Linked DNA regions of Arabidopsis thaliana. The protein of the gene in region 2 purifies or fractionates together with the protein of the main gene of each other region. This does not show direct contact. Each region holds a gene or a part of one and is shown on either strand. Other genes may lie near its edges. The genes, in order: AT4G09310, AT1G61150 and AT3G55070.

The links.
Region 1: the proteins of AT1G61150 (region 2) and AT4G09310 fractionate together in Arabidopsis thaliana (co-fractionation; one large-scale study listed by BioGRID). This does not show direct contact.
Region 3: the proteins of AT1G61150 (region 2) and AT3G55070 fractionate together in Arabidopsis thaliana (co-fractionation; one large-scale study listed by BioGRID). This does not show direct contact.

Annotation. Positions count from the first base shown.
Region 1 is NC_003075.7:5,900,803-5,904,558, reverse strand, and holds the start of AT4G09310 (SPla/RYanodine receptor (SPRY) domain-containing protein), read right to left. Parts: upstream 1,747-3,756; 5' UTR 1,611-1,746; coding exon 1,351-1,610; intron 1,013-1,350; coding exon 854-1,012; intron 698-853; coding exon 562-697; intron 412-561; coding exon 335-411; intron 262-334; coding exon 120-261; intron 1-119.
Region 2 is NC_003070.9:22,540,409-22,544,164, forward strand, and holds the start of AT1G61150 (LisH and RanBPM domains containing protein), read left to right. Parts: upstream 1-2,088; 5' UTR 2,089-2,265; exon of another isoform or gene 2,266-2,454; 5' UTR 2,455-2,519; coding exon 2,520-2,573; intron 2,574-2,698; coding exon 2,699-2,858; exon of another isoform or gene 2,859-2,895; coding exon of another isoform or gene 2,896-2,959; coding exon 2,960-3,066; intron 3,067-3,165; coding exon 3,166-3,297; intron 3,298-3,428; coding exon 3,429-3,585; intron 3,586-3,756. Other genes in the region: EDA16 (SNF2 domain-containing protein / helicase domain-containing protein / zinc finger protein-like protein), read right to left, coding at 56-202.
Region 3 is NC_003074.8:20,406,148-20,409,903, reverse strand, and holds the start of AT3G55070 (LisH/CRA/RING-U-box domains-containing protein), read right to left. Parts: upstream 1,631-3,756; 5' UTR 1,528-1,630; coding exon 1,207-1,527; intron 846-1,206; coding exon 651-845; intron 477-650; coding exon 354-476; intron 210-353; coding exon 15-209; intron 1-14. Other genes in the region: AT3G55060 (CAP-gly domain linker), read left to right, coding at 3,682-3,756.

The DNA.
Region 1 (3,756 bases), on a different chromosome or scaffold from region 2:
CAGTTCGATATGAAACAGAAAAGATGTAGCAATGTAGCTTGCTTTTGGTTGATTTTGTACCTCACAGAAAAAAAATAAAAAAAAAATTACAGCAAGATAACCATAGCAGTGAAAAGTACCTCTCTGAGCTTTTTCCTTTGATGCAATTCATACTCATCAAAACTATTTTCTTGTGCAATAACAGTATGACGACTTGCAGCCAGGTTAAAAGCTCTAAAGCTATCTTCATATCCATAACGAAGAAGGTAGGTTTTTACAAGCCTGGAAAAAGGAAGCTTTAGCACAAACAGAAACAAGAATTACAATTAAGAACAGGCAGGAAAAGACACTTTACCCATGACTAATGCTGCGAGACATGGAAATCTTTTCAATTTCCCTTTCTTTTTTAACCCTCAATGATTCTTCAAAATGCTGAAATAAAGGTGGATCAGATAATAGAATATTGTATCAGAAAAATATGCCACATACATGCAAATATGGACATATGTGAGAGATGCATATTATTCTGCTTACTCAATAGTTATTCTCCGACTATGCAAGAAAAGAAAAGTACGACCTTACCTCAAAGTCAAAAGAAAACGCAATCTGTCCGCCGAAATTGACAGTGACAGCTTCGTTTTGGCTATGCAAAACAATTGTCGGGTATACAGGACGCCTAAATTGCCTGGGGATTGTCCCTACGATAGTTCCATTTTTCCTATAATCAAAGAAGTAGTCATAGATGTCAGCAAGTAAAACATACGCAGGGACATGTCAAAAACATTGTGACATGAAGAAATGAATTGTGTATCTTGATATCTACTTTTCCAATTGTAATGAAACATGTTCAGATAGGGAAACAGTTATTACTTACGTGAAAAAGAATTCTTGTGAAACCGAGTCTATACCGCAACCAACTAAATCACCTGTTGTATAGGTGTCACTGGCTTTAGCAACAGTTCGATCACCATCTCCATTTTGAGAGCATATGAGTCCACTGTTACCAATGTAGGCACAGCTTCTGACAGTATATCTAACATTACAGAGAAACATGAAACAGTGAATTGGAATGCTTAATTACTGAAAGGTGAAAACATCTAACAAAGCAAATCTCCCATTAACTTGTAAGATACCAGATCTAACAGCCAACACAATCAAATTGAGCAGCAAATCACATAACCTATTTCCAAGTAACGAATCCAAACCATTGAAACAGTGATTTGAACTACTGATCTACCATTGTATCTAAACCTATTTCCCAATTTGTTCTCTCAGTCTCAGGTACCAAATCAAACAGAATCAATGATTGTATTGAGTATCAAATCACGCAATAAGTGGTAAATGCGAATTGAAAGGGAAAGAAAACGATACCCTTCGCTATAGATGTGTTCCTTGGAGAAACCAATCGCGATCTCTCCTTTTTCACCAGCATTCATGATATGAACCTCGAAGTAGTAAGCAAGACAGTTAGTCGGCGCCGGATTTTCAGTCTGAAGAACTACGCCGTCGTGATCAGGGCCCGTGTATTGACCGGAGAGCCCATCGGGAGAAACAAAGGTAAATTCGTCTGAACCACCGACCGTGTATAGCGCCGTTGGCCGCAATTCTTCTTCCTCTTCGTTTTCCTCCATAGCTTCTCTCTGGTCAGAATCCCCCAATTCGTCCGAATCTATTGAATCGTAGAGAAAGAAACCCTAGAAATGCGATTGAAATGAAACCCCCAAATGTTGTTGAAGGGCATCAAAAACCACTTCGCGCCCAATGTTGTGTTTGCCAACAATAAATACGATTAAACCAGATATTTTTTAGTTAACCGGTAAATCAAATAACCGTATATTATTAAGTAAATAGATGAAACTCGGTATATTATTAAGTAACCATTTCTATGTTTTTTTCTCTTTTGGTTTTTACTTTTTAGAGTGCTTTTGGGGTGAATTTACACCTTATGTGAACACTGTTTATTAATGTTTTTCAATATCAATTATACAATAAAAATTTATTAACATAAACTTTTCTCTCTCGGTTCTAGGGATGGTATTCTCATGTGATCTCTTACTTCCAAATGATGCCATGCTTCTTTATTCAGATCCGGAAATCAGTACTATGACGAAGGATATGGAGCTCCTCCATCACACAAGCCTCCTTCTAACTGTGGAAGTCCACCTTACGACCCTGCTCCTTCAACTTCATCACACATTGATATGGGGCTTGCTTGTTCCCTGTGGCACTGTTGGAGGAGGTTTTGGTACAGTCAGTACTCCCAGTAGCATTCCAGAGTTTGATCATCACATGAACCTTCTTCAGGCACTTTCCAGACACCCGCACCGATCCCATTCGTGCTCTCTTCCGTCAAGGTACAACTTCGTTGGGGTCGGATTCCCCCACAAGCAAGACCGAGCCAAACAGTCTAAGAATAACAATCACCTCATGGTTAAACATATGATTGGCCCCTAGCCTAGAACAAAGCACCTCGGGACCTTATTCGATCGACCGTCCCGAAGAGAGTTTGTAAAATGGCTCGGGTGTTAATCATATGAACACAGCCCGAGCCAATCGTGAGAACGCTGCGGGACACATCTATATCGGCTCGGGAGACAGCCAACTGAGCTTAATGGACAGTCATCAAGCGCGCCCCGAGCCGGTACATACCGTTTGCCCCGAAGCCACCTCTCAAACGACCACCGAGCCGTGAAGAACACGCGAGGCAAAGACTTGTAAAAACCATTCATTCTCCAAGGATCATTTCCGGTAAAATGGGATCTTTTATGGGACTTTCAGAAATGATAAAGGAGAATCTTTGAAGATAATGTCGAAATCAGGAAATCTCCCCAAAACCTCCGAAGAATAAGGAGAATATCCTTAGGACGATTATCCTCTAGAACCGACCTAAGGATAAATAAGAATCTTCCGAAGAATATCGCTAGGGAGGCGGTTTAAGGATCCTATATAAAGTGCCTTAGGGACTTCACAAAAAGGGGGAGATCTTGGGATATTCACAAGAAACATAGAACTTTATACCTATTGAGAACTACGAATGGCTTGATCCCTTCACAGGGTACGTAGGCAATCCATCATGGATGCAGCTATACCTTTTTAAAACTTTAATTCTTTTTCTGTTCTTGAGCAAAACCCTAATGTATTTCATAAGAGATTAGAACCCCTCTTGTAATCGAGTCTTGGATAGAATACCTAATGAAGAGAAATTACTAGATTTGTTTTCCCTCTCTAAACAAATCTATTGTGTGAATCCTTGGTTCAACAAACTTCTTGGTTAAACTCCATGACCATGGTCAACACTAAGTTCCCTTTCACAACACCCGCAGCTATTAGATACTATATATACTATAAACAGTTTAAGATTCGTATTTGAAGCCATCTCGAATATAAATCTATGTTTATGACTAGTCTGTTTTATAAACGATCCGTCAAGTCCTTTGAAGCCAGCTTTTTAGGTAAGGGAGAGAGATAGAATAACTAAGATAAGCAAAACAAAGATTAGGACGTATATGCATTGCCGAATAGTGAGATAAGTAGACAAAGAATGAGCAACTGTTTTTTTTTTTTTGGTTCTTCGGTCACACACCAAACAAACTTCAAAATGAATTCTTATGTAGCTTTATAGGAACCATACCATGGTGGAGAATAAAAGCCTAACCAGTAAACCAACATTTGAAAACAAAAACCCTCTCTTGTTATTAGTACTACCTAGGGGTCCAATATTGTCATGAATAAGAAAATCCCTAAATCATAAGAGCAAGGCTAAAAACTCCCCCCTCA
Region 2 (3,756 bases):
TTAGAGAAGCGTGTAATCAAAATTCTCAAGCTACCACAAAAGCCGAGAAAACTACCTCAGCAGAATCAGGCTTCTCATCTAGAATCCGATAAAGCGTTTCGATGTCAATAGTCTCGTCATCATCTTCAAACTCAAAACCACCATCACAATCATCAACCGGAAATTCACCTCCCAGACCAAACATTGAACCTTCCTCACCCATCAAAAATCACAAAAAAAAAAAAAAAAAACTAACCCGAGAAAGAACGAGAAGAGGAACAAACCCTAAATCAGAAAACCCAAAAGTCACGGAATTTCAGCTCCCGGGAAACCCAAATCGAAATTCAGAAGTAGACGCGTAGATCCAGAGATTGTAGAATTTTCAGGTACGACGAAGAAGAAGGCTTGAGAATTGGGTTTTGAAGGAATTTTCGAGGAAAGGTAGAGAGCAGTTGGGATAGAGAAAATAAAAATCGCGACTTTTTGTAGCGACGGTGGCTTCTTTTTATTGCCTTGTTCTCTCTTTTGGCTTTCTCCGAATTGGAAAAAGTAAACACCACAAGGCTATGGGACTTCCGGCTTTAAATAAGGAACGGTCGAACATTTGTTTTTCTTTTTCTTTCATTTTTTTCCATTTTTTCATTATTTAATAATGCATGATTATATATAATTATATTTTATGCGCCGTCATCTTTATTGTTAAAGCAAAATCACAATTTAAACAAAAGGAAACAACTTTAATTAGTAGTAGGAAACTGAAGTGTTTAAGTAATGGAGATTTTTTTGAAGTGTTTGCTAATCATAATTTATTGTAAAAATTATTTTTAATTGTGTGAAAATTAGATTTTCTACACTAACAAAAAAATTTCATATGTTAAAGAAAACAAATATGAAACTAAATCACAAAGATCAATTGGAATTAGACATGTGGATCGACTCATTAGAAAAATAATCATCTCAATCAATAAGAAGAGATAAAACATATATTTGACTAAATGATCTTACCAATCTTGTGGTCATAAAATTCTACAAAGCACTATATTGCTAATTTCTACAAAGCACATTTGTAATCTTCTGAATCATTTGTTAGCCCTAAAAGAAGACTAGTATTATACGAGATCACCATTTTTATGATTGATCAAATATCTTGTAGAGCGCAAAACTTTGTAGGTAGTTTGATGAGAAAGAGCTTGCTTATTATGTGATCAACAATTCCGTTCTTGCCATGTCTCAAAGTAGTTGCTTGCCATATTAATTGATATGAAGAGCCTTTGATTTTGCAGAGATAGGAATTGCCAAAAGAAACCATATGAGGATTGACTCGAGAAGTTTTAGTGTAACTTCTTCACTAAGTCCTTCCAAACCAGTTGGGAAAAATAATATTAAAGAATAAGTGGTCCATTGATTCTTAGTCGGTCAACTAGCTAGAAGACCTCAAATTCTGCAATCGATCCTTTGTCTTATTGTGGTTCCACACAAACAACCATGTGCAAAGAACAAAACATGTTTTGGGACTTTAGTTTGAAGATGCAATTAAACATATTGTTAGATTGTTGACCAAGAAAAAACATATTGTTGAGATTGAAAGATATATTTTGCATCGGACTGCAAAATGTTTATGTCACATATTTGTTACCTAATAGTTGATTTTAATAGAGTATAATAGAGTATCAGTTATTGGTTTTAAATTGTGTATCAAATTCCAAATAATATAGAGATTTTTAACATCAGTCTTATTTAATTATGATTTTAACCAAGTGTCGTTAGCTCAATTGGTAAAGACCTTATGCAAAGCTTAGAGGTCGCCGGTTCGAGTGACGCTTGGGACGAAACTAATATTTTATGCTGTGGTTTCAGGCCTGGGGGATTACGGACTTTGACCCACAACCTCCAAGATTTAAAAAAAAAAATAAAAAAAAATTATGATTTTAAATCGAAATTTTGTTCTTCAAAGGTAAAATAGTTTAAAAATCTTTGGGTATTAAAATCATTTGGAAATGAGTTACATAATACTATCCGGTATATAAAGAACCAAATCCAAAAACAAACCGGTTCCCTTAATAATTTAAACCGGATTATTCATCGACGGTTCGTCAACATCCTAATAATTTAAACCCGATCTCTTCTTCTCTATCGAAAACCTCCAACTTTTTTTTGTTTTATCAGATTGTAAATTTAGGGAAGAGACTTTCGCAAGCAATCTAGAAGCAAATCGATCGCCAAATCTCCGGATTATTTGCAAGAATCGTTCCCAGATAATCTTCCCCAGATTCTCCACTTCTCCAGGTACATCGTTATATTCAATTTTTGAGGAAAATAGTCGCACACTCTCTCTTTCTTAGAACTACCACTCCTGTGCTGTTTTGAGATTAAAGCTTGAATTTTGACTAAAGCCCTAAATTACTTTGTATCACTATCTGATCACAAAGTCAATTTCTTTTGGAAATAGCTCTGATCGGAGTGTTGCTCGAACAGGTATTAATTTCGTATTGAGTGGATTAGATTAGATTTCAAGATATGAGAGCCTCACTGGCGTTCTAATGTCACTGTTTCGTATTTTTATCAATCAGCTTGAAGAAGACGACGAAGATATGGTAATTTTGACTCCTCTTATGAGTCTGTTCTTTGTGTTATTTGATACAACTTGATGATGGGTTTTTGGAAAACTTTAATCTTTATGCACGTTGTGTGACCTAGTTTTAATCGTGGCTTGTCGCAGGCTACTTCGAAGAAAATGATCACACGTGAAGAATGGGAGAAGAAACTAAATGCTGTGAAGCTTAGGAAAGAAGATATGAATACTTTGGTGATGAATTTTCTTGTGACTGAAGGATATGTTGAAGCTGCTGAGAAATTCCAAAGGGAGTCTGGAACCAAACGTATCCTTTTTCTGATTCTGGTTTTGAGTTTTTGTTTATGGAATTGGTGTGTTTGATGTTTAGCTTATCTACTCCTTTTGAACTTCCTTATCGAGAAACAGCAGAGATAGATCTTGCGACCATTACTGATCGAATGGCTGTTAAAAAGGCTGTTCAAAACGGAAATGTCGAGGATGCGATTGAAAAAGTTAATGATTTGAATCCTGAGGTACAATGCTTCTTCATATCTTGTGTGGAGAGTAGTCATTCACTTTTCTGATGTAATAAAGAAGCAAAATCTGATTCTTCTTTGAACCCATGCTTGCAGATACTAGACACGAATCCGGAGCTCTTTTTTCATCTTCAGCAGCAAAGGTTGATAGAATTAATTCGACAAGGGAAGACAGAAGAGGCCTTAGAGTTTGCTCAGGAGGAACTTGCACCACGTGGCGAAGAAAACGTAAGTCTTTGTATTTCACTTTGATTTCTGTCGTTAAAGATGGTGTTTTCCATGTGTATTGCTCATTGACTGTGTGTAATATCTGTTGTTGCTGAAACTTCATTCATACAGTCTGTTATATCTCTCTGCAGCAAGCGTTTCTGGAAGAATTGGAAAAAACTGTAGCCCTACTTGTTTTTGACGATGCCTCTACCTGCCCGGTTAAAGAGCTTCTTGATCTTTCCCACCGTCTTAAGACAGCAAGTGAAGTAAATGCAGCGATTCTTACAAGCCAGAGCCACGAAAAAGGTAGCTTTTGAATTTTGATGTTATACTGGTTGTCTTTTAGTAGCCACAAAATACCATTATAATCTCGAGCATCATTCATTATCAATCTTAAGATTCAAAGTATATGCAACTCTTCTCTACATAACAAGTAAAATTTTTCATTCATTACTTCACCCACAACATGTATCATCC
Region 3 (3,756 bases), on a different chromosome or scaffold from region 2:
AAGGAAAACTTCACCTTATATTTTGAGCATTCTGTGGTACTTTTAAAAGCCAAAGTGGCCAGAACATGCTGCAATTCTTTCATATGGGTTGTTCCCCATGATGCCAGATGCTTTCGAGCATACTGGATTGCTTTTTTGTAGCTCTCAGCTGTATCAACTCGTACCAACTCGATGAATTCTTGCAGCCTTAGTTGGAACTCAAATTTGCTCTGTTATGAAAAGGAAAATATATAATTAGCAATGAACAATTATACATAGAGTTCTGGTAAAAAATTGGATACTTTAGCCAAACCACATGGAGTTCATAAAAAATGAAAGTAAAACTTAACCATGAGAGTACATAGAGCACGTACCTTTGACTTTTTCAACCGCGTTTTGTTATCAGCACACCATGTCAATGCAGAAGCTACCTCCCTATTTTTAAGGGCATCAATCACCTTCTTAGCTTCTCGAAATATGTCAATGTCGACAAGGTCCTGAAAAGATGAGATATTTATAATTAGCATTTCATAGAGATGCAGTACAAATCAACAAATCTGTTTCACTGCTTGTAAAAACGAAACAGCAAAGAATATGTTCTGATATATTAACCAAGACAGCAATATAGCATAATAGTGTGATATAATGAGTGTCAAGAGGATGAGAGAAACCATAATATTGCTGCTTTCCGAAAGCTTTGTAGCAGTCTCGAAATATGACATCCGCAGCATGTAGTCTACAAGAATCCGTTTCAGTTTGGTATTATTCCATTCAGTAATATTTTCCACATCTACTGAATCCAAATGATCGATGCGAGCACGACATCTCTGGGCTTGCAAATTCTCCACATTGCTCCCTTCTTCCAACTGAGATACAAAACCAAAAAAATACGTAAGCCAGGCCATATCCATGTGATGTTACTCCAGAAGATATAGAAACTATCCCAAATGATAAAAATTTAGAAGACAATGCAAATAGTCAGATGGGAAGTTCCAATGAACCAACTCCACCACTACATTGAATTCATCGAGATCCAATGTCTAGTGAGACATAATTGCCAAAGACAGATACTTTACTTTGATCTTCAACATCGAAGATCAAATTTTTTACAGATAAGTGGATATCATTTAGCAAAATCAGAAACTTTAATCGCTAAATTAATTGATTCAGTTTCGTCTACATAATTTAAAACACCGATCACAGAGGGAGAGAGACGGAAAAATCAACCTTTCGTTTGAGGCCTTGTAATCGAGTAACAAGGCAAGTAAGACGCGAAACGGTATCGTCTTTAGACCAATCGGAATCAGCCAATTCTCCGACGCCGTTAACAATGGTTGAGACCTCTTTCTCGAAAGAACGGTGATTGGTACGGATCGTCTTCTTGTAATGCTCGAAAGGAACGCGGAGGAGCTGGTGCTCAAGCTTGAGAGATTCCGTAAATTGATTCGATCTCGAAGACGAGACGACGACCGGCGACGGAGTGATCGTAGCGGCGGATTCCGTCATGACGGTGTCAGAGTTTCCGTTGGTGGCGGAATCGATTTCCATGGCAAGAAAATGGGAGGAAGAAGTTAGCAGAAATTTTGCAGAGAGAGTTTAGATTTTGCCTTGTGGTGGTGATCTTGATTGATTGATATATGTATGAGAAGAAAAAAAACTACAGAAGAAATAAATAGTGCCAAGTGAAACGGCGTCGTTGGTTTGTGGTACTCTATAGTTCAAAACGACAGCGTTTGAAAAGGTAGGAAACCGTCCGGTCTGATCTAATCCCTAACCGAGAGTATGTTTTGATTTTTGGGCTTTGTCATTTTAGTTTGCAGCAACGTTTGATCCAGTACCAGGTCCAGTTGATGAAACAAAAATAGTCTAGGATTCCCAATTTTTGATTAATATATAACTAGTCTATACAAAATATTAATATACAGATATTTTTAATTATTAAAAACCCTTTTTTTACTGAAATTAAATTTACCTTGTGAAAAAATATCTCAAAATAAAGTCTTTTTTTTTTTGGGCTTTCAAAATATTAGGACTGATCGTGATTATACCTAATATGTTATGAGTAAAACTAAAATATGGCCAAAGTATCAATGCAAAAAAAAAAAAAAAAAAAAAATTTAACACATGATGTGTGGTCAATATATAATTCCAAGTGTAAAAAAACTATATATAGATAATATTTTATTTATAGAAAATATAATTATAAATATATGATGTCAGATTTCTATCTAAAATAACGCATTACTTCTCTTTTATATTATTTCAATTTATTACGGGCAACTATGTGTCGAAATACTATATGTATTGTTTAAATACTAGGTGCTATTGCCAAACATAAAGAAGAAAAATAAAGCATGAAAGTAAATTGAGAAATAACCTTATCATTTTTGTTAGATTTCTCGACTTTTATACCAAATTTATAATTATATAATTGATTATGAGCGTAGTTGGTAATTTATAGTATTAGGTATGGTGGTATACATACACCTTCCCGGTCTCAAAGCTTATCAACAACAAAAACGGTATCATACCAACAATTCTTATCGTTATCACTTCAAAACTGTATCATAATTACCTCATATCACTCAAACCTATATATTTTATTATACTTATCTTAAAACAACTAAATACCCTACATTTAATTTGTAATTTACAAGTTTTTCCAATGTTGTTATTGATCACTGTTATGTGTTGTTAGTGAAAAACAAATAATTGTAGCCCCGCTCCTCCAAAAGTCCAAATGGCTCTATCCGCCGCGCAATGAAAGATTTAAAAAGGTTACCAGAAATACCCTTCACTGGATACTCTATTTACATTATCACACCGCCAATAAAGATTTTTGGAGCCGTTTTGTTCTTTTGGATTCTTCGTCGTCAACGAGACACTCTCACACTTCTTGCACTTCTCCCTTTAGATCAAATCCACGTTATCTAGCGCTGTTATTAAATCTGCGTTTCAGTTTCTTCTCCATTCGAATTTTCGATTTGCAAAATCGCTGTTTTATGGTATGTTCATAAATTCTAAAGATCTTCCCTTTTGAAATTTTAAAATTTTTCTCTGTGTTTCTTTGGTTTTCTTTAAAGCCAATTGTGTCGTCATAAAAAGCTGTCGCCTCTCAGTGTTTTTTTTTCCTTTTTCTTTCAATTTTCCAACTATTAGAAGAGAGTAGAGAGAGTAGAGTTGGATTTTCTGGCGACGAAATCGATTGAGATCGTTTAAAGAGAGAGCCTTTCTAGATTTTGTTAGTGTTCGAGTAATCTCGCCGAACATAATCTTCATCAACTTCTCCGCAAGTAGGATTTAGGTTCGATTTGTGATTTGATTAGTCTCTAGGGTTTATCGTAGCTTTGAAGATGCTTAGGGTAGTCTGGTCTTTTATTTTAGGCCTTGGCTCGATGTTTACTATGATAAGTCTTGAGTTTCTGAATCTCTGAGTAGAGTTATAGTTGATTATCTCGAGTCTAAGATCATTTATGCTGTTTTTTCTCATTTCTTTTGTTGAACTGGTTTATCTTTCATCGAGCAAATTGTTTGTAAGATTCACTTGGAGCACTTTTTTTGGAGATTGACATGAACTAATTTGCTGCAAAATGTGAACTTTTCCTAGTTTAGTGCAGGAGATATCTTACAATCTATTGATTTGCTTCTATATGTTTTGATTGCAGCTGCAGTTGTTATAGCACCTTTTGATTGGAGAAAACAATGAAAAAGCTCTTCTTTTTCAGATCTTCTGGTAATGGAAATGATAAACAAGTTAACTGCGAAAAAGAAGCGGAT